Linked DNA regions of Lytechinus pictus. The protein of the gene in region 1 binds, or shares a complex with, the protein of each later gene. Links are inferred from orthologs where the notes say so. Each region holds a gene or a part of one and is shown on either strand. Other genes may lie near its edges.

Region 1 (7,333 bases):
TCACCCCCCCCCCTCCCCTCTTTAACAGTGTTCGTTAGCATTTTGTTTTTATGTTTTGTTTAAGGTCATTTCATTGATTTTTCACTCATATTGTTGTAAAACACAATGAAAACAATAAAATTCTTAGTCAATTACACATTTTACCTCCTCAATTTGCAGTGGTTTTCATTTAATTTTATATTATGTTTTATTGGGACACTAAAATCATTATGTTATATAATTGTAAATCATGCTGTTGAGAAATTATACATTGCCATGTCAACATTCTGGTCGGCGGTCCGCCATATAGAAGGCCTATACGGTCCTACAGGAGAAGGTAATTCTGAATGGAAAGTCCACCCCCTTAAAAAACATGAAGATTAGAATATCATAATAAAACATCCTAGTCGCATTTGGATATTGCCAAATATAAAATCACACAAGTTCGAAAAATCATTCTTTGGAAATGTCCGTCATCCAGATGACGTTTCCCGGATTTATGAAATTGGGGCACAGAAAAACGATCTTATTTGGAATTAGTACATTATTTTCTTTTGCAATAAAAAATTGGGGTCAATTGATGCCAAAATGGACATAATTGCCCTCCCCAGAAAAAAAAGAAAAGAAAAGGGATTATCAGTCCTAAACTTAATCCTTCCGAACCTCGAAAGCAAAGAAAAGAAAAAAATGGCCGGGTACTCTAAAAAGAAGGGTGACGACATACTAATAATCACTTTTTTTAAATGGTATCATTGTGCACTTGCCTAATTATCAATCCACTCATATTCAAAAGAATTCATGGAAATATTGTTTCCAAACATCTTGTCCATTATAACCCACCATCAAAATTTCATCATTCGTACAGAAAATTCCACTTTCCTCTGTCTTCACTTAGTTCGAAAGGGAGGGAGAAAACCAAAATCCTAGAAATTGGTAGGGTCACTCAGGGCAAAATGTGTTAATTAATAAGTCATTTCAAGCGACTCTGAAAATAAAAATTGGCAAAAATAAATCTTGTTGAATGGATGAATGAGAAAAAATCAACTAGCATCAGCACAACCCATATTATTTAGTAAAGCTTTCATTACAAAGTTAATCTTCATGTTATAAGAACTATATCTCAAAATATGGAACCTTAGCACTCGAACTGCATGAGTATAGTCCCGTCTTACAAAGAGTTGCGATTGATCCGATCGATTGCAACTATGGAAAGCCAGCAAATTCAACATAATGCATGTTTGCTTCAAAAAAATTCTAGATACGAATGTATATCCATAAGTTCATTGACAGCTCGGTGTGTTCTCTTTTGTTTACAAAGGAAATTTTGCACATTTCATGTAGAAAAACGTATGACACTAAAGTAATGGATTTCCATAGACTGATAGAGTTACGATTGATTGGATAAATGATCGTAACTCTTTGTAAGACGGGGCCCTGAACATTATGGCCCGTATTCTGAAGTCGGGTTTAACTTAAACTCAGGTTTAAAGTTGTGGTTTAAGTATGGGAAGCCAAAAGTATCAAAGTTTTTATTAAGTTGTATGTTTCTTATGTTTACTGTGCTCTTTCTTTATTCATCGATGGTGAAGACAATCATCTGTTTATACTTCCTAGACAACTATGAATTATTTGAGAGCTGAAGTATGATATCTCTACTGTTAGTGATTTATGCAACAATTTGCTATCCATACTTAAACCACAACTTTAAACCTGAGTTTAAGTTAAACCCGACTTCAGAATACGGGCCTATGTATATAATGGGGCGTGGCGAAAAGGGACCGTGCCCCAAAGAAAAATAGAGAGTTTAAAGGCAGAAAAGATCAAGGTAAAGAAGGACAAAAAGGACAGACAGATAGGAAGTAAGCAAGAAGAAATACTTCAACGAGACAGGAAGCCTTCCAAGTTTTCCTAACCAAAATAGTATGATAAAATATTTTTTGCCTTCGCCACGCGCAGCAATATGAAAAAAAAAAATTATCTCAAAAATGCCTATTGAGACGCAGCCCCTAAAAATCGTCTTCTTCGTTTGGATGATTCTTCAAAATTCACTCGTAAAGTCAATTTTTCCCGCATTTATTTCCAACCCCTTTCGAAAATCATTTTTTCTCCAAAATTTTAATAGATTCATTCATGAAATCAATTGAATAAAAATACAAGTCGTTTAATTCCTTTTATCTTTTGAAATTAATCTTCAGAGCTCGTTGTGTTGAATGAGCGCGGTGAGAAACTGTTATCCCCTTGCTGCAGGTTTATACTCTCCTATTTTAATGAATCTATTATTGAATACAGTTGTAAAATATAAGACAAAAGCCCTGTCGATTTTGTACAATATACTTTTGAATAAAAAATATGCTGAAAATGTTATTGGCTATAAGTAATTTTAAGCGCACTCATTTTTTTCAACAATTAACGATTCTATGAAAATATACAAATATTCGCGTTATTACGAGAGAAATATAGCTGTAAACTAAATCTCATTTTATTGATAAAGCCATTGGAATTGAAGTAATATATGCTAAATATGAGGAGCAATCATAATTATATCATACACGAAAAGTGTAACCTAGAGTATACAGGACCACTCGAGTTTCACACAAGGGCGGGAATCTCTCCCCAAAAGTAGGGGGACCAGGGGCCGGAAAATTTGACAAGCAAAAAAAAAAAGGTTATCACCCAAAAAGTACGGTCATCTCGTTCAAAATACACGTTTTATTTCGATTTTGAATGATGTCTTTCTTTCCATTATAAAAGATCAAAATATAGGGGGACATTTGATATTGTGTGTCCCCCTATACTATTTTGGGTCCCCCGGAATTTCCGCCCATGGTTTAACATTATGTAAACTTGTAAAGCAATATAAACCAGGAATTATTAAGAAAAGACTTCCAAAGAATACGATTTAGCTATCAATATGGTTTGTATGTGGGCTATGCAGGCTTGCAATCAATATTGAAGTCCAGCAATATGATAAGTCTTCTCTCGAATCTCGATTAAACTTATAGCTCCTCACGGAAAACTTGTTTCTATCCTTCTGCAACATATTCTTTTCAATTCAAATAAACATTTATTCTCTTCCATTTTTCACAAAATATAATTTTCAATATAGATTATACAAAACCATTTTTCATAAAAATAAATATAAAACATATTTATTAACATAAAAGGACGTAGTTCCCTGAAAGCAAAAGGTTGTGACGGGATACGCCTGTATACAAATACAATACAAATCGTTTTGTTCTCTCCCAGTCCTACGATTGAATAAATTTCTCACTGTCAAGTTTCTTAAACGAACAAAATCTATATTCGATGAAGGCCCTAGAAACGTCATTCTTTGCTTAAGATTTAATGAAAAATTACTCAAATATCAAATCTCTCTTGTTTATAATGATCTTCGAGTAATCGTCGCCACTCCAAAATCCTGTACACAGATGCATGCTGGATAACTGCTTTGTAAAACTCCAGAAAAAAAAACGAGGAATGCAGTTAATTCCTGTTCCTGTTCAATTATCAAGTTTTTTTTCTTCAATATGAATGTTATGCGATTTTGATTTATTTTCTTTAATACCTCATGAAGTTAACCACATCTTCTTTTCTCAATGTTGTGTTCATGACAGATCGGTAGATGGCGCAATCCCAGAATCGCATCTGAGTACGCATTGCTAACCCATTTGCACGAATGTGGAAATAAATGTTTACATTCATTTCTTAGACGTTTATCCCAGTATTTGAAAAGTGGCTTATGAAATGTAAAATATATATATATATATATATATATATAAATGAACAAATAAATAAATTGTGATCATATTCACAGCCTTAACATGATAATGAAGTTGTATCATTATTTAGTCTCCAGTATTAATCATAGGCCTATTTTAATCTTAATCAATTTTTTGAATAATTATATTTATTTCATCTACAACTAAATACATAAATTCAAACATTCAACTCAATTCAACTCTGTTCATTTTTCATTTAAATAGCTTATGATGATAATGATGATACCGCCTTACAAACATTATCGTCAGGCAATCAGTTATAATTGACAATTCCCCCTTTAACATATACTAATAGTCCTATCACTACCGTATTATCATTATTATCAATATAGGAATAAACCTTACTTTGTTAATATTGCTATTCAGATAATTGTGTTACGACTGAACCTACTATTTCTATATCCCCTTTCTTCATCATATTACTAGTTATATTGGGAATGTATATTCAGAAAATACTAAAAGGCGCATTTCCGTGAGGCTAGCAAAACAATCTCAAAATGGCAGACTACGATTTCACGTGTGGGGCTACAACTTCAGTTTCAAAGGTACTAAAATTGTCTTTTAAACTTGAATTGATCGATCTTTCATTGCTCAGTACCATATCATGAATATGATACTCAAACTTTTTATTTTATTGATCTCGTTTTAGGGATGTTTCGTGTTCAAAGCCAAGAAGAGACGTCAGCCTCTTTATCCCGGTAAGTAAACCCATCCCCATCCGTGTATTTCTGTGATGTAGATGATAAATTAATGTCATTGATGACGCACACATAATTATGGTTACCAGCGTGTGCGATCCCAATGCACACATATCCGACATGAATATCACTTTTCCGTGATAGAGTAATAAAAATTGCACAGGAGCTAAATTCCTGTTTATTCATACCAAATTCGTTTTGCAAATTTGGTATACTTACGAGCTAAGAATGGAAGGAACATAAACTAAGTTTACTTTAACTTTGACTGCTAAAAGTAAAACTTAATAAAAGATTATTGGTAATAAACTGATTTCTTTGAGTCTGACTTTATTTTGTATTTTCTTTCTTTCTCTTTTTCATTGACATTGCTCAGTTCCATAACATGAATAAGATACTCGAACGTGATATTTATTTATCTAGTAATTTTTTTTCTTTTCTTTCTTTCTGTCTTTCTTTTTTCTTATCTTTTCTCTCTTTTTTTTTCTTTCTTTCCTTCTTTCTTTCCTTCCTTCCTTCCTTTCTATATTAATTTGATATTGATATTTTTCTTCCTCATTTTAATTTCCCCCAATTTTCTCCCAATTTCTACCCCTTTTTCCTCTCCTTTTTATTTTTTTCCTCACTATGTGTGCTGCATCTCTGATAAGTTTTATGAAGTTCTGAATATTGTAACATCCTATAATATTCATTAAGCTCAAAGAACCGTTCATTGCAACAAGAGTCGTGAATCATGTAGTTACACCTCTCTTGCTCATTTTCCGAAAGGATAATGTGTAAATGTAATCTCCAATTCAAAGGCAAAGGGTTTGCAATTTCTCATATATTTCTATCTTTAGTGTTACAGCCTTAAAACCAAAATTGATAAAGGGATCAAATTTTCTTATTGCAATAAATATGAATATTATAAGTAATATCTGATGATCAATTCAGGACTGCTGTATTGACTAAAAAATTGTGATTTTGCAATTACGATTCAGGACCATGAGAATTATGCTTTAAAAAAAGGTCAATTTTAAACATCCATATTTTTTATTCATTCATTGACAATGGCTTTCCTTTCATGGCAACACTTAAAACATCAAAATTCCTGTTCTAAATTTAAATTTGCAAATACGAATTAGAAGATAAATTTTTATCAACACTATTTATTTTCAATATGCATGTAAGCAATAAAAGAAAAACTTTTGATTTTGATATTTTAATAGAAAAACAATTCAACATTTACTCACCTTAGTCTTTTTAAATGTAGTTTTGTCCTTAGATTCCAAATGATATTCATTATTTATATTTTTAATCATATATTCATTTCAAATGGTTAATTGACAAATGAGAAAAAAAGAGAAAAAGACATAAGAATTGCAGATTGCAGATAATGTTTGAAATGAGATAAATTTCAGATAAAAAAATGTTATTCAATTTATTTTATTTTAACATTTATTTTAACCCTTCACTTCCAACATTAAAGTAAATTTACAGGAATTCAAGATCGTACTTGTACTTTTTACTTTTGTTTTAAATGGTAAAAAAAATGAATGCAGGAGATTATTTCATACCTGAAAGCAAAGCTGAAAGCAGTAATGATTGTAAGCTGAGATTTGAGACTGGAGATGCCCAGTGGGAGCTTATCAATGATGATATTGAGGTAAGATCTTTACGAGGAAGTCTACCTTGACATAAAATGTTTCCAATTTGTCTAATGCCGATTCGTCCAATTGCCAGCTCGTCTATGTTCATCTGGTCTACCATCAGTTCATCCACTCACCAAATGGTCTACTTTCATTTAGTCTGATGCAGTTCCTTCTAATAGCCAGTTGGTCCAATAGCCATTTAGTCCATATACCATTTGGTCTAATTAAACTTAATAGTGCAAAATGAAGGAAAAGAAAATGGATATTAGACCAACTGGTTATTAGACGAAATGGTAAAAGACAGACTGGTGATTAGACGAAGTGATGATTGGACTAAATGGTTATTGGACCAAATGGTTGTTAGTAGAAATGTTGATGGACGGAATGGCATGAGACTAAATGAAGGTAGACCATGTGGTGAGTGGACGAGTTGGCAGTGAACAAATTAGCAATTTACCCAAACATGTATATTTGGTTTGAATATATAAGTAATGCTGACGTCAAGATAGTTATTCATGGAGGTGGTTCAAGATATCGGACTAGACACATTGAAGTCTGGGATATGATCCCTGGCACCTATGTCAGGGATCAGGCATTTAATCAACTTAAAAAAAAAATCCTTTGTTAGAATTAATGGAAATGTTTTATTAGCATTCTTGGTAATAACAATGTGTGCACTTGTTTAAAAGAAAGTCAATTATAAAAGTCAACTTATGTGTCAATTCTTCATTACTGTTTTTCTCTGTTACAGACTTTACAGGCAGAGATCAACAAAACACTTTTTGATGATCTTCTAGACTTCATCAAGAATGCTCAGGCAGGATTCAAGATGGATGAGGATCTGGGATCAAGTAGGTCCAGGCCTAAGCTTAAGGAGATCCCAACTGCGGCATTTGTAACAGGTACTGTCAAATACACCTTTTTAGTAGATCTAGAGTTTATGCAGGTAATTTCCGGGATAGTAAGAAATTCCAGGAAATTCTGGGAAATCTGAAAATCAAAATGTCATATTTGAAATTGATTAGTTTTCATTATACATGATAGAGAATTATTTATTTGTAGCAAAAAAAATTATCACTTGTGTTTGCATTATCTATTTTATGTCTATTTCAGCAGTGCATGGAAAAGAAAGGTCTTAAATTCCTTGATTTTTCATTATTAGGCCTACTTCAGGCTTGCTATATCATTATCTGAAGTTTGTGTGGAGATTTCAGCCAGGTAATTCCACCGAATTCAGAAAATTTGTGAT
Region 2 (8,074 bases), on another chromosome or scaffold:
TTGGCTTTTGTACTTTTGTTGACATTTTAAAACTCTTTACCACGAATTTGGGCTGTTTGACCTGAGTTGGAGGTTGTTTACAATACGTCATGCATTGATAGTATAGCTATATGGCGGTCAGGCTGATAAATGTTTGCATTACCGTATCTGTAACTTTAGTTCTGTACATTGGATCAAATCGGTATTTGCAGATACAGGGAGAAAAAAAATATCGGCACATCAGATCAGCAATGAAATTCCATATCGGTTAAGGCCTACTTATCTCGTTGTGGATGTACCCCCTGAACAGACATTCTCCAATAGCATTAACTAGAAAATGTCATTGTCTTATTCTTCTTCAGTGTATCACCTTTCGACACAAAGAAGGCAGTCGACAACGCAAACCAAAGAAAACCAAGAGATGACATCCTAATCCTTCCATCAACCATCTATTAGACATACGGCTGCATTGATCACTAAGATCTTGTTCATGTTGAAGTGTCAATGTGTAATTGATGAGTCGTGACATAGTGGTTCTGCCAGTCTGTGTTTAAGTCCAATCACAGCACTGGCATCTTTTGGCCAGCATGAATCTACCATTTGCCGCTCTCCACCCAAGTGTGAATGGTTCTCCGATGTGGTTGAGTGCTAGTTACTTAGGAGCTCAGCTATGATAATCTCTTAGAGCCTTTAGCATCCCAACTTGGTGGATACAACCCTAATAAAAGCCACCATTGTTATCAGTACTACTGTATTACTGAGGGCTCTGATATCTTGATTGTTTATCAGGAAAGAGAATTATATTTTAAGATGTAGGAGTGTAGATACCATTATAAAAAAAGGCACTACCTTACTGTGCACTAGCTGGCTCTGTAAGAGAAGTGATGTGATCCTATTGAAGAAAACACTGTAGAAAATTATCACCATTATGGGTAATTTTCTGATTAAATATGAAGAAAGAAGATTTGATACATTTCATATTAGGTACAAGAAAGAAGAATCACTAAATAGAAATATTAGTACATTGATAAAATATTGATGGGAGTTATGATCAATGAGCTTGAAGGTAAAAAAAATAAGATAAATGATGAAACATGTTTGTGATCAGAAAGCACTCTAAATTAAGTTTGCATAATCATCATTTTTCAGGGATGCATTTCTATCAAATTTTTGAAAACTTCATTTTTATTCTTATTTTGTAGTGTAACAAAATATCTTTGTTATACTTTTGTCAAGATTGTTATTATGATATACTTGTTATATCTAGATCCCAATCCACATCTGTGTGCTTCCATTACATTGGTGGCTGCATTTTGCTATTTTTGCATAGTGATTGACATGAACCAAAGATAAATGCCAGTTATGGTAATGATTTCAAAAGTATTTTGTATGGAATCCAATCATATGCCCCCCCCCCCATTGTCCTTTTTCAAAATTCAAAAATATGTGACAAAGGATTGTGGGAGAAATTGTGTAATTACTGAGAAATTAGCAAAATAAACATGGAATACGAGCAGATTGTCAGGTTTTTCCAAGCAATAATACATTGTCCCACATGTGACAAAGGATTGTGGGAGAAATTGTGTAATTAATGAGAAATGAGCAAAATAAGCATGGAATACGAGCAGATTGTCAGGTTTTTCCAAGCAATAATACATTGTCCCACATGTGCTTATCTGTGTTGGTGATCTACAGTGTAAGATTTCATAATTTCTCAAAGTTAAGTTTTCTATCATATCTAGATCCACAATGATATAGTGACAATTAACCTTGGTTTCGCAGACTTTCTCATGAAATCAGTGTTTACTGCTGCAACTACTTTGTTTATCTTGAATGACTTTTGGTCTGACATAGCTGTTAACTGGGGTTGAACTCATGACCTCCCAGTTGTGTAACTTCAGACAAGATTCACAATTCTATGACAAAGATCTCTCAACCAATGAAATGGCATATATCAAAAGTTTGCAGTTTGATTTTAATAACAAGTTTTATGAAAGAGAGCTTAGGGCCAGGTTTTCATAAGCCAATGCACGAATTTGATGAAATACGGTTATCAAAAGAAATTTATTTGATTCTATGAAAAGGGGAATGTGCTGGTATGTTGCGTTAACAGATTTAGTATTATATATATATATATATATATTTATTTTATTAATCATCATGAAATGTTTACACTTTATGATCAGATCAAATAATTGAAAATATGCAATAAATATCACTTGTATAGATTCATGCAAGGAACTTATTGCTCAGTTCCAGGAGGGGGGGGGGGTGTAATGAGTCACTCCCTCCTCTCACTTTAAGAGTATGACATCACGTATCTTTACCAAGATAATCATTAACCCTAATCCAGCGGGGGGGGGGGGGTGAATCAGCCTCGACATTTTCCATGACCATTCCTCTGCACCAAATTTTTGACCGCACCGATCGCTGACATTTTACTTTAAAGTCTTGCGCATCTTTTGAGACCAAATTTATGATGCCCGGGTATGCGGTACGATAATTACACAACATTATGTAAGTGCATGTCAGACCCAAAATTGCTCCAAAACGTAATTTTTTGTACAAAGTCAATGTAAATTGAATTTTCTCACCTTATTCACTTTTATCAGCTAAAATTAATTGATTTTAGCATAATTATGCTTTAAAAAGGTTCTGAAAAACAAAAGGTCGAACAACAAAAAAATACATAAGAAATTCATAAAACAATGAAATAAATAGTAAATTCATTTTCAAACCAAGATTTTTATTAATTTGTGATTGTTAGCAATGGTATAAAGAATATTTACACCAAAAATTAGCATTCTATGAGCTTTTTATAGTGAATTAGAGCAAAAAGTATGACTTAGCCTGGTCTGGTTAGGGCTAAATCAAATGTAGGATCAGCTGATTTTGTGAGGTCTCCTAAGTAAATACAGGAATATATCAATGTAAGTGTGCTCCCAAACAAAAAAAGACATGCTCCAAGCAGAAATCAAACTTAACTTTGCTTTAATGTCATTTAAAAAAAAAGAATTTCTTTTCTTAATTGCGGTTTCAGTGAATGAGACAAACTATCACTTCCTTGGCAAGATGGATAAATGTCATCTTTCCTTAGCTCTGTTCAGTAAGATAATATGGAAATGATATATTGTCTTATCATTTTCACCAAGGATGATTATTAACTTTTTGTCCTCTAAGGAGGTCCATAGAGCAGCCATTTTGGAGGAGAACAATGAAAACCTGTGCATTCAACTAAGATCAGTGGTTGCTTTTATGGATAGTGCACATGTTTCCCATTGTTATGTCCTCCATGGTGACGTCATGTGGCAACCCCCTCTATAGGCTTCTGTGCTGAAGAATTAGCCTTGATAAACATACCTTTTGATAAAGTAATAGAAAAGGATTTAGTATGAACTCTGTCATTATTTATAATGGCCACATGATCCATTGGAAATTAGGAAGGTTATAGGAGTGCTTTTTAATCCTTTTGTTCCTAATTGGCAATTATTTTTGCTTGTGAAAGGCCCTATGATAATTAAAAAAATAAGCTTATGATTTTGGTAACATTTTAATGGGCATATTCAATCTCGCTCATATATTAAAATTGAGCATTCTGATGAGGAATCAGTTTGCCGAGATCATGAATGGGCATTGATGATATTGAAAGTTGTTTCATTAAGCTGTTTCTCATCTAAAGGCTGCGTTACGAACCACTGGGATCCTTTCTTAGGAACTGAATCAACACTAATGGAAATCTGGTGCGTTTCATTTACCACAAGAAAGAATCACCAGTCATTCATTAAGTCGATCATTGCTTGAACAGCTTTATGAAAAACCCAACTGAGTATGACATATCATGTTTAATTCAAACCTTCTTTGGTGCTGACCCTGGGTGCCGACAGTGGTTAGCTTGTAATGATTCCAGTATTTTGGGGGGGGGGGGGTAAAACTCTCTTTTGATGAACTTCAAGAATGAAGATTATACCATATTAACAGAGAAAAGTGGTCTTTTTTTATTAGATTTTGTGCAATTCTGTATTTATCTTAAACATGAAATGAAATTTATTTAATTTACTTCTATTTATTTTATTTTTTTCCAAATTAATTGGCAATTTTTGCTTAAAGATTGCTCTTTGAAATGAAATAAGTGGAATATTAGGATGTTCAGTCAATTAACAGTAAGAGCTAGAGAATTAACATGTATACCTCAGCTGTCGTGTTATTTTTTTACATCTAAAGAACCCTTGACTCAACTAGGTGGTCACTGATGTAATAAAAACCATATTTAAAACAAAAATATGTTTTTGGTACTGGGTGTCTTTTATTTGAATTGTGATATGCATTACATCTAAACATTTGGAAGAAGTATAATGTATAAATCAAAATAAACCCAAAGTGGTTACCCTGAACTGCTGAAATGTGAAGATCAAGATGGGGTAAGCAGAATATAGAGAGGAGAGGTACATGTATAAGGAGAGAGTGGGAAATAGGGGGAGATGGGGGGTAGAGGTCAGGGAAAGGGGGATCATGGAAAGATAGAGAGACTGGTGTGGTGAATAGAGAGTGGTGGAATACAAGCGGGGAAGGGAGTGAGAGAGGTATAGATCGAGAAGAGATATCACAATAGGAAGCCGGGATATGACAAATACAACTGAAGAGATAGAGACAAATGATGAAGTGAGCCGGGAAGGGAGGGAGAGCATTATGGGGGGATGGTATATTAGCTGTGAGACGTCATAGCTTGAAGTGGATGAGATTTCATAAACTTAACTTGAAGTAATGTATAGCTTTTGCTGCTGGAGTATGGTATATAGTGCTGAAAAAGCAACCCCTTTTTTCTGAAAGACGTCTACGATGCCTTGGTGCCAACCCCCCCCCCCCCCAGAACCTTATTATATTTTCCACAATTTTCTGCTTTTTAATCAACTTGATGAACGCCATAGAGATATTTATTATAATTATTACATGTATTATCTATGGTGGTCGCCTCCCAAAATTTTGCCAAATGGTATTTGCAAAGTCAAAGCCACCACCACTCACAACAACGTGCGCGAAAACTCAAATTTCGTAGAAGATAGCCGGCCATCAGGCATCACAATCATGGATAAATCGAAACTTAGATCCAAGTCTACGCCTAAATCTGCTCATAAAAAGTCTAAACAGCGTATGTCGAAGGGAATATCTGTGATGTTTGTCGGTAATGATGATGTTATGCACCACATAATGGAAGAAGCTTCAGGTAATTCAACATTCATCTTTGTTCGGGACCCAAATTTAATGACGCACCCTAGTCCCACTTATCCAATTTGGTGAAGTTTAAAGGGCCATGATATTAACCCAGGGAACTCCCGACGCTGCGCGGGCGGGAGCCCAGGAGCTTACCGTGTATTTGACCATACTCACGGGACTAGCGTGATTTATGGTCTAAATATTTCTCCAAATGAATTGTGAAAACAGAAAGTATACAATTACCACGATTATAATATATGGATGAAGGTCTAACGAGTGGCAGATTCCTGACATCTGGGCACAGTCTGGAACCTCAAAAAAAACGAAAAGTTCTCTCCTTCTACCCCGTCTCGATCGGCCATTTTTGTTAAAAATCGTAACAAAATGGCCGATCGAGACTGGGTAGAAGGAGAGAACTTTTCGTTTTTTTGAGGTTCCAGATGTCAGGAATCTGCCACTCGTTAGACCTTCATCCATATAATCGTGGTAATTGGATACTTTCCGTTTTCACAATTCATTTGGAGAAATATTTAGACCATAAATCACCCTAGTCCGGTGACAATGGTAAAATACACGGTAAGCTTCTGGGCTCCCGCCCGCTGCGCGGGCGGGAGCTCTCTGGGTTAGTGATGGCTCAGACTGGGAAAACTTTAGGAATATAAGGAAAGATACTCACAAATTGACAAAGTCTGCATATAGGAAACACATAATTAAGAGACTTCTGTTTAGAGTCAAAGAAACAATTTTGGTCCTTCGTAAAAAGTCTTAGGAAAGACTCTTCGGGTATTCTAGAACTAAAAGACAAGGAAAAAGGTATTCTCTTCTCTGAGAACAGCCGGAAAGCTGAGATCCTTAATGATCAGTTTCGCTCAGTTTTCACGACTGAAAACCTGCAGACATTACCAAACTTCCCTCCTTGTAATATTCCCGGCATAAGTAACATAACCATTCACACCCCCGGTATTGAAAAACTCCTAAGGAATCTAGACCCTAAGAAAGCAACTGGGGTGGATGAAATATACCTCCTCGTATTCTTAAGGAATTTTCCCATGAAGTTGCGCCAATTCTTGCCAAAATATTTCAAGCTTCTGTTAACTCAGGACAGTTACCTGAAGATTGGCGTAAAGCCAATGTCACTCCCATCCACAAAAAAGGAGATCGTACAAAACCCGAAAACTATAGGCCTGTATCTCTCACTTCTGTTTGTTGTAAGATATAAGAACATGTGGTACATACCCATGTGATGAACCATCTTGAATCATACAATATTCTTAATAAAAGTCAACATGGTTTCAGAAAACTACATTCCTGCGAAACACAGCTCATACAAACCATGCATGACCTCTCTCTTTCTTTTGACAAACGGACCCAGACTGACATAATAATAACCGACTTTTCTAAGGCTTTCGACACTGTGCCCCATCAACGACTCCTCCTCAAACTCAAGCAATATGGTATTAATGGGAAGATTAATCAGTGGATCTCATCTTTTCTACAGAATAGATACCAGAGAGTAGTATTAGGGGGGGAATATTCACAATGGGTTAAGGTACAGTCAGGCGTCCCGCAGGGCACAGTGCTCGGACCCTTATTGTTTATTATCTATGTAAATGACCTACCAGACGGCTTGACCTCAACTGTACGACTTTACGCGGACGACTGCATCATATACTCTAACATCAAAACACAAAATGACGCTACTAGACTACAGAATGACCTGGACAAACTTTCTGCATGGGAAAATAAGTGGCAAATGAAACTTAACCCAGAGAAATGTTTTGTTCTTAGGATAACTTCTTCTAGATCACCTTTCACAACCAAATATAACTTGGGTGGCGTAGATCTACAGGAAACCACCCACCATTCATATCTTGGTGTCAATATCTCGCAAGATCTTAAATGGGACAAGCATATTTTCAAAATCACAACTTCTGCAAATAAAGTCAACGGCTTTATTAAACGTAACTTGCCATCATGCACAAAACTCACAAAAGCTACAGCTTACATAACTTTAGTCCGACCGATCTTAGAGTATAGTTCTAGCGTTTGGGACCCATATACAAAAGAGCATATTTATGAAATTGGTAAGGTGCAAAGAAGGGCAGCCAGAATGGTTTGTAGTGACTATAGGCAAACCACCAGTGCTACAAAACTAATGCAGGGGTTAGGATGGGATCTCCTTTCAACAAGAAGGAAAGTTTCGAGGATTGGTATACTGCACAAGGCCTTGGGGGGGCACCTGGCCCTGCCGGTGTCGGACTATCTACGTCCAGCGACTCGAGCTACCAGACGTACATCCGGAAGATCTTTCATCCAGTGCTCAACTCGCACCAATTGTTTTAAGAACTCATATATTCCACGCACCATCAAGGACTGGAATTCTTTACCCCCCGACATCCAATCAATTTCAGTCTCTGATAATTTTGAAACACAGGCAACCATATACTTTCGCAACAAAGACTTAAGCAACAAGGACTAAGAAGAAACAAAGTGCGCACTCCCATTTCCTCCTCGGGTGGTTCCTGTAATAGGAACGTTGAGGAGTATCACCAAGAAGAAGAAATATTTCTCCAAATGAATTGTGAAAACAGAAATTATGCACTTACCACGATTATATGGATGAAGGTCTAACGAGTGGCAGTTTCCTGACAACGAGGCACAGACTGGAACTTCAAAAAAACGAAACGTTCTCTCCTACCCCAGTCTCGATCGGCCATTTTGTTACGATTCATAACAAAAATGGCCGATCGAGACGGGGGTAGAAGGAGAGAACTTTTCGTTTTTTTGAAGTTCCAGTCTGTGCCTCGATGTCAGGAAACTGCCACTCGTTAGAGCTTAGACCTTCATCCATATAATCGTGGTAAGTGCATAATTTCTGTTTTCA
Region 3 (7,029 bases), on another chromosome or scaffold:
TATATACAAATGCCAAATCACAACACGTTTTTCTCGTTGTGATTTCGTTTTTGTGTTTTCAAAAACCAAACTAAGGGGCTGATTTCCGTTTCCGCTTCTACATGATTGGAACAGAAAAACAAATTATCCATTAGTACCTTGATTGTGCAGGTTACTGGGCAAGTGAAAGTGACATTCACAATTGATCTTAGCAAGACATTCATTACATAAATGAGTAGAGTACTATTTCATATGATAAAAACTAATTTAAGTATGAGAATGACAATATTTGATTAGAGAATATCGAACTTCTTAACCGAAGTGCGTGACAATCAACAAAATATATATTTTCATCAAACGTTTAGTTTAAGAATATTTTTCTATGTTTCTGCTTTAATTATCATCAACTTTGCGTCAGGGTAAACTGCCCCCTTTAAGGGTAGGCCATTCGTGTCAATTAATAGACAACATTTTTTCCCCAAACAGTGCAAACGTGAACGAATAAATGAATATATGAATAAACCAGGAAATGAATAAGTTAAACAATACGAAGGAGAACTTGAAATAGTGATGCATTAAGCCTCTCTCTCCCACTCTCTCTCTCTCTAACGTTTCACGTATTGGCTTCAGTGAGGTAACAAAATATATTTGTTTATATATATAATAATATATGGTATACAGAGAGATCAAATCCATAAGTAAAAAGAGAAATTAACGATAATGGTTGGTCTTACATCAAATAAAACAAAAAGTTTAATACAAACAAATACATCAATTGTTTAATTTAAAGGACAAGTCCACCCCAACAAAAAAGTTGATTTGAATAAAAAGAGGAAAATCAAACGATCATAACGCTGAAAATTTCATCAAAATCAGATAAAATAAGAAAGTTATCACATTTTGAAGTTTAGTTTAATTTGAAATAATAGTTACATATGCACATCCAGGTCGGTATGCAAATGAGGAAACTGATGACGCCATCCACTCACTATTTCTTTAGTATTGTATTATATGAAATATGATATTCTCCCATTTTCTTCTCATTGTCAAGTGCAACAATTTCTCCCTGAACATATGGTTCATTCACGTTGGCCCTTATTGTAAAAAATGTGAAAAATGAAATATTGTATAATTAAAAAAAAAAAAATAGCGAGGCCGGAACTGTATCATTTGCATGCAAATGAGTTGTGCATATAGGGCCTATATCACTTTTTTGTGAAAAATAAGCGAAACTTTAAAAATATCACAACTTTCTTATTTTACATCCGATTTAGATGAAATTTCCAGCGTTATGCTAGTTTGATATATCTCTATTTATTCAAATCAACATTTTTTCTGGGGTGAACTTGACCTTTAAACAAAATATAAATTCCTTTTATGTAACGAAAAATAAGGTTATAACACCCTTCAACTACGACTAATTCAAAGAAGGTAAACGATAATTTTTAAATTCAGATTATACTTTCTTCAAATTTTCAAAGTCATTCATGCCTGAATGATCGAGGAATCTTCTAAGGATACCAGGTGAAAGAGAAGATATTCTAAGCTTTACAATGAGTGCCGTCTTCATTTTGTATAGCCATTATAACTTACAGAATGAATAGAAATAAATGAAAAATAAATGAAATGTATGGCCCTGTATCAACATAAGACCTCAGATAACAAAAAGATGAAAATATAACAAATAAATTAAATGATTAATGAATAAATATAAATACATTAATCAAACAATTAAAATAGATTGATAAATAAATTAAATGAACTTCCACACATAAAAAGAATTAAAAGCGAATGATACCTAACTCTGACTCTCTATATCACAATGATTAATGAATAAATATAAATACATTAATTAAACAATTAAAATAGATTGATAAATAAATTAAATGAACTTCCACACATAAAAAGAATTAAAAACGAATGATACCTAACTCTGACTCTCTATATCACAAAAGAAAAAAATAACTGAAAACAAATGAATTAAATGATTAATGAATAAATATAAATAAATCGACAAATAAATTTCTGAAGAAGTAAATTATTATATCTCCTTAATTGTTTATTTGGAAAATAAATTGGAGCCCCCCCCCCGCCTCCTGCAGCGCCGCCCATGATATTCTTTCCTTGTTTATTTGGAAAATAAATTGAAGGGCCCCCCTCCCCCCTACAGCGCCGCCCATGATAATTCTCACCGGCAGGGGAAACAAGCCCCACGACCACGTTATTTTCCATTATATAACAGCGTAAGGGGCCTCGATAACGAGTATACTACTATAGCCGTCATCCGAGCCCCACACACGTGCGAATGCTGGGACAAGCGCATTGGACGGGGCCAGTTTCGCGACTATCTTAGGATGCAAGCTTATTATATACTCGTGATATATAGGCCCCGCTACTGTGTTGGAGTGTCTGAAGTGCCGTAGTGCGGGGCCTATATAACGGTTATAGTACTATACTCGTGAAACAGGCCCCGCAAACTGACATTCTAAGCTATTCAACACAGCAGCGGGGCCTATATCACGAGTATATATAGTGAGCTGAAGTTAGCAACCTAGATATTGAGGTAGTATAATCGATTACAAGTTTTTCTCGAGCGGGGCCTATATCACGATTTTGCCTTTATGTAATAACGTAAGAAAACGGAAAATGGGGATGTGACATCATCAGCCCACCTAATATTATTAATAAATATTCATGACGACTGTTTTCACAAAATTATTATTTTATATTGCTAAACTTTATTTAAACTTCAATAACTTATTATTTGTTGTCCGATTTTGATGAAATTTCCGGCATTTTTCTCAGTGAATTATATTCTATGTATTAAGATATAAATATTTCCAGCCCGGACCATCCCTTTAATAATTAATTTGAATACATCGATGGAGCCCGAGTCAATAACTTCCCCTCAGGAGTCCGTCTTTATTTACAGCGTGTGCAATTCCTTTCGCACGCAGGTGAGTGTGTATAACCACGATTCCGTGACACATATACTTACGTATCACATGAGCGAAATCACGGTCGGAGTATATTCTATATACGGTACCGGTACTTGATTGTTGAGTGAGAGTAGATCACTGCCGACACTGGTACCTCAATCATTTACGGTAGTTTCAGTGTGGTATTTGTTTACCTTTCTTATTAATTCCTTCTCCTCAATTATCACCAACAATTACCCTAGCTGGAACTTCGAAGTTAGATAAATCAAACAGCAAATGTTAGACAATCATTGGCTTCGGATGTGGAGAGACAGTCTTCTCGTGCATGCACCGCCCGTATGCGTACGGTACTTCCGCCTAGCCTAAAAACTAGGGGCCGATTGCACGAAAGGGTCTTTCCAAGGACCGTCTTTCGTGTCGCCCATCTTTTATGATACGCCATGTGAAACGCATTTCAAATAAATTATCTGCAAATATATTTTATTTGTCCGTTAAATTAAACAATATATTTGTTTATAAAATGATGTGATATCTCATGAAATTGTATAAAATTTGATTTAAAAGCAAGCTTACGAATTTTATTTGTTTATCATAAATTTCAGAAACACCCCGCTTATAGCGCATCATAAAAGATGGGCGACACGAAAGACGGTCCTTGGAAAGACCCTTTCGTGCAATCGGCCCTAGGAAGCAATATGCGCAGAGCAGGGGGCGATTGCACGAAAGGGTCTTTCCAAGGACCGTCTTTCGTGTCGCCCATCTTTTATGATGCGCTATAAGCGGGGCGATTCGGAAATTTATGATAAACAAATAAAATTCGTAAGCTTGCTTTTAAATCAAATTTTATACAATTTCATGGGATATCACATCATTTTATATACAAATATTTTGTTTATTTTGACGGACAAATAAAATATATTTGCAGATAATTTATTTGAAATGCGTTTCACATGGCGTATCATAAAATATGGGCGACACGAAAGACGGTCCTTGGAAAGACCCTTTCGTGCAATCGGCCCCATATAGCCAGCCAAATCAGCACTAGCGCTAGCCAGAGCCTCGTACCGTACTATATACTCGGTACCGTGGCGCGCCATTTGATTGTGAGCGCGGCCGAGGTCGATCGAGAGCTAGAGCTAGAGCGGCACACACATTATATTACGGTAATACGGTATACCGGGGGAGCGTTTCATCAATATTTTCATCCGACAAGTTGTCAGATCTGACATCTTTCCATCATCATCATCATCATCTGTACGGGAGGGTAGGTAATATACTATATAGTCCTGTAGATCTCCCGGTCGTAAACACTTGATGCATAATTAAAGTCTACTCTAAGTCTAACCTAGACAGCTGGCAGCCGTCTGTTTCGAGGAGTTTTTTAACATTTTTTTATTTTTTTAATTTCTCCTCATACACAGACGGCTCGCTATCGTGCAGCCACCATTAGGGGACTTGCAATGCAAAATCCCCCCGTCGGGGCTCTTCAATTTTTGTCTTTAATAAATAAAATTTTTGAAAATTAACGCGACCAAAATGCAAATTAATATTCCCTCTTGGCATTAATTGCCAAAAAACAGAGAAAAATCAAGTTAAAAGAAACAAAAACAGTGACTTATCTCGGCTGTCGCGCAAATTCACTTCCCCGTTTTATCCGCTCTTAAGTACATAAACATATGGCCATTGAGTCCCCTGTACAGATCGCGCTAGAACTTCGGTCTCTGTATTTGGTGAGTGAAGCCAACGGAGTTCAGCTGAACAACCAACATAACAGAGACTGAAGCTTTTGGTCTAAGTCTAACCCAGAGAGCTCCCGCCCGCTGCGCGGGCGGGAGCCCAGAAGCTTACCGTGTATTTGACCATATTCAGCGGACTAGGGTGATTTATGGTCTAAATATTTCTCCAAATGAATTGTGAAAACAGAAAGTATACAATTACCACGATTATATGGATGAAGGTCTAACGAGTGGCAGTTTCCTGACATCTGGGCACAGACTGGAACCTAAAAAAACCGAAAAGTTCTGTCCTCTACCCCAGTCTCGATCGGCCATTTTGTTACGATTTTTAACAAAAATGGCCGATCGAAACGGGGGTAGAAGGAGAGAACTTTTCGTTTTTTTGAGGTTCCAGTCTGTGCCCAGATGTCAGGAAACTGCCACTCGTTAGACCTTCATCCATATAATCGTGGTAATTGTATACTTTCTGTTTCCACAATTCATTTGGAGAAATATTTAGACCATAAATCACCCTAGTCCGGTGAATATGGTCAAATACACGGTAAGCTTCTGGGCTCCCGCCCGCTGCGCGGGCGGGAGCTCTCTGGGTTACTCTAAGTCTAACTCTAAGTTCAGTGCGCGCGGGCGTGGATGTCAGACAATTTCAAAATGTTTGCTTGACCAAAAAGAATCTAATCCGTGTTTAAAATAATAATGAGTTGATGCTGGAGGACATTATAATACTAGTGTTGCAGGCAAACTATTCCAGGATTGAATCACTCTTTTACTGAAAAAGCTGCTGCGGGCATTCAACCGACAGTGAGTTGTGAACAGTTTGAAGGGATGACCTCTTGTTCCCTGATACTAGTATGAGACCTCATGAAGAGGGATTCTGTGTCGACTCTATCTCCTATACCATGTAATATTTTAAATACTTGTTGTAATTTTGTATCATGTCCCCTCATTCTCTGCGGTAATGTAAGGAGTACAGATTCAGTCTAACAAGTCTTTCAGTCACTCATAAGATAAGGAGTTAAATCCTGGAAATAGTCTTGTTGCTCTACGTTGTACAGATTCAATTCTTCTGTCATCGGTGATGAATCTAGGGCTCCACACAACACTACAATACTCCAAATGTGGTCGAACAAGAGCCTTGTACAGCCTACAGGGGCAGAAATATATCCGGTTTAATGTTCACAAATGCACGTTTGATGATGCCCAACATTTGGTTAGCTTTTTGGATAGATGCAGATACATGTTGATGAAATGTGAGTTCACTATCATCAATAAGAACACCAAGATCCCTTTCACAGTTGACATCAACCAGTGAACGATTATCCATAAAACGTTAGAGTATGAACGATGGATATTGTTATTTCCTATATAAAGAGTCTTACATTTATCAGAGTTCAGAGGAAGCTGCCATGAGAGTGACCATTTCTCAATGCCATTCAAATCATCTTGCAGTGATTGACTACAGTCAGGGTTTGGTACTCTGGCATAAATCTTAGCGTCATCAGCATATAATAGCGTAGAGCTTGAAGTAACGTCTGGCAGATCGTTTACATACATAACAAAGAGGGTTGGCCCGAGCACACTACCCTGCGGTTAGACCAAAAGCTTCAGTCTCTGTATTTTGGTTGTTCCGCTGAACTACGTTGGCTCCACTCACCATACATAGACTGAAGGGGATGGGGCCCCGTACCTACAGCCAACGTATAGTGAACTAGCGTTTTATAGATCGAGATTTTAAACTGTTTTTTAAGCAAAATTGAAAGTTTCATGGTTTCCATTATCAGGGAAATATAAATAACTTAAGTAATTGCATACCTTGGGCCGGAGTTATTGAAAAAAATCCTCTGGATGATTGAGAAATCTGTCATCTAAGACATTTTCACCTGACCTGACGGTTTTTCTTGCAAGTTGCCATCTTGAATGACGTCATTATCGTTATTAACTTAATGTCTCGAATCGATATATCGCGATTATAACTAGTACTAGTACTAGTATAACTAGTATCGTTTATCTTCGATTTCGTTCGCATATGGAGCAGATCGTATAATATCGAAAGCAATATCGATATCACATTCGTGATTGTTGACGTTCGTTTGTAATATTTTATAGTTTGGCTGCCATTTTGACCATTTTTATCGTGTTCAACCCAATTAAACATCGGTAAAGTATATTTTTCATGCCTTTTTCATCTATATCGTTTAAAGTATTTTGATAATTAAATATCAAGTTTTAAAAGTTTGTTGGTTATACATCCTTAGATTGTAAATTCGATGTGTAAAATTACATCAAACTTTGGACTGTGAATTGACAAAAGGGAGGGAATGAGAACACATGCGAGCCCACACGTACACCCTACCGTCGGTAAATGGGGATTACAGTAA

What was found. Proteins that work in one complex are often made in the same cells at the same time.
Region 2: the proteins of origin recognition complex subunit 3-like (region 1) and origin recognition complex subunit 2-like are in contact, whole or in part, in a cryo-EM structure (PDB 7JK6), measured with the Drosophila melanogaster proteins. The link is inferred for Lytechinus pictus from reciprocal best matches to the Drosophila melanogaster genes Orc3 and Orc2. Residues at the interface, in NP_476904.1 of Drosophila melanogaster: Gly10, Cys11, Phe12, Val13, Tyr14, Lys15, Asn16, Ala18, Thr19, Arg20, Ser38, Leu39, Leu40, Tyr50, Tyr53, Arg54, Asn106, Pro108, Arg135, Asp136, Ala142, Arg177, Arg180, Asp308, His312, Gln316, Lys319, Tyr320, Met323, Phe327; in NP_731873.1 of Drosophila melanogaster: Ala331, Ile332, Lys342, Met344, Cys345, Ile346, Leu347, Asn348, Glu349, Phe351, Tyr356, Leu358, His369, Lys375, Thr377, Val378, Leu379, Val380, Val381, Asn382, Phe385, Asp392, Ser396, Asp400, Ile401, Leu402, Asp403, Asn410, His412, Glu413.
Region 3: the proteins of origin recognition complex subunit 3-like (region 1) and origin recognition complex subunit 5-like are in contact, whole or in part, in a crystal structure (PDB 4XGC), measured with the Drosophila melanogaster proteins. The link is inferred for Lytechinus pictus from reciprocal best matches to the Drosophila melanogaster genes Orc3 and Orc5. Residues at the interface, in NP_476904.1 of Drosophila melanogaster: Ile105, Gln107, Leu140, Lys141, Val144, Cys183, Thr184, Met185, Lys186, Gln187, Glu213, Cys214, Asp222, Leu225, Ile226, His230, Ala243, Thr244, His250, Tyr255, Ser258, Ser259, Arg262, Leu263, Ala270, Pro272, His302, Ile303, Leu305, Tyr306; in NP_477132.1 of Drosophila melanogaster: Ile72, Glu73, Tyr75, Ile79, Glu82, Asp86, Asp94, Arg130, Tyr291, Met292, Arg293, Ile294, Glu295, Leu319, Glu320, Leu321, Pro322, Tyr323, Tyr324, Ala325, Asp383, Leu386, Ala387, Tyr390, Val397, Leu399, Thr400, Cys401, Asn402, Leu403.

What each region holds. Positions count from the first base shown.
Region 1 is NC_087248.1:5,391,020-5,398,352, forward strand, and holds the start of origin recognition complex subunit 3-like, read left to right. Parts: upstream 1-4,229; 5' UTR 4,230-4,255; coding exon 4,256-4,303; intron 4,304-4,407; coding exon 4,408-4,456; intron 4,457-5,994; coding exon 5,995-6,098; intron 6,099-6,835; coding exon 6,836-6,986; intron 6,987-7,333.
Region 2 is NW_026974140.1:18,890,089-18,898,162, reverse strand, and holds the start of origin recognition complex subunit 2-like, read left to right. Parts: upstream 1-4,998; 5' UTR 4,999-5,061; coding exon 5,062-5,200; intron 5,201-8,074. Other genes in the region: uncharacterized protein LOC129260196, read left to right, coding at 342-404. UniProt on the Drosophila melanogaster protein: Component of the origin recognition complex (ORC) that binds origins of replication. DNA-binding is ATP-dependent, however specific DNA sequences that define origins of replication have not been identified so far.
Region 3 is NC_087247.1:38,510,775-38,517,803, forward strand, and holds the start of origin recognition complex subunit 5-like, read left to right. Parts: upstream 1-3,953; 5' UTR 3,954-4,182; intron 4,183-7,029. UniProt on the Drosophila melanogaster protein: Component of the origin recognition complex (ORC) that binds origins of replication. DNA-binding is ATP-dependent, however specific DNA sequences that define origins of replication have not been identified so far.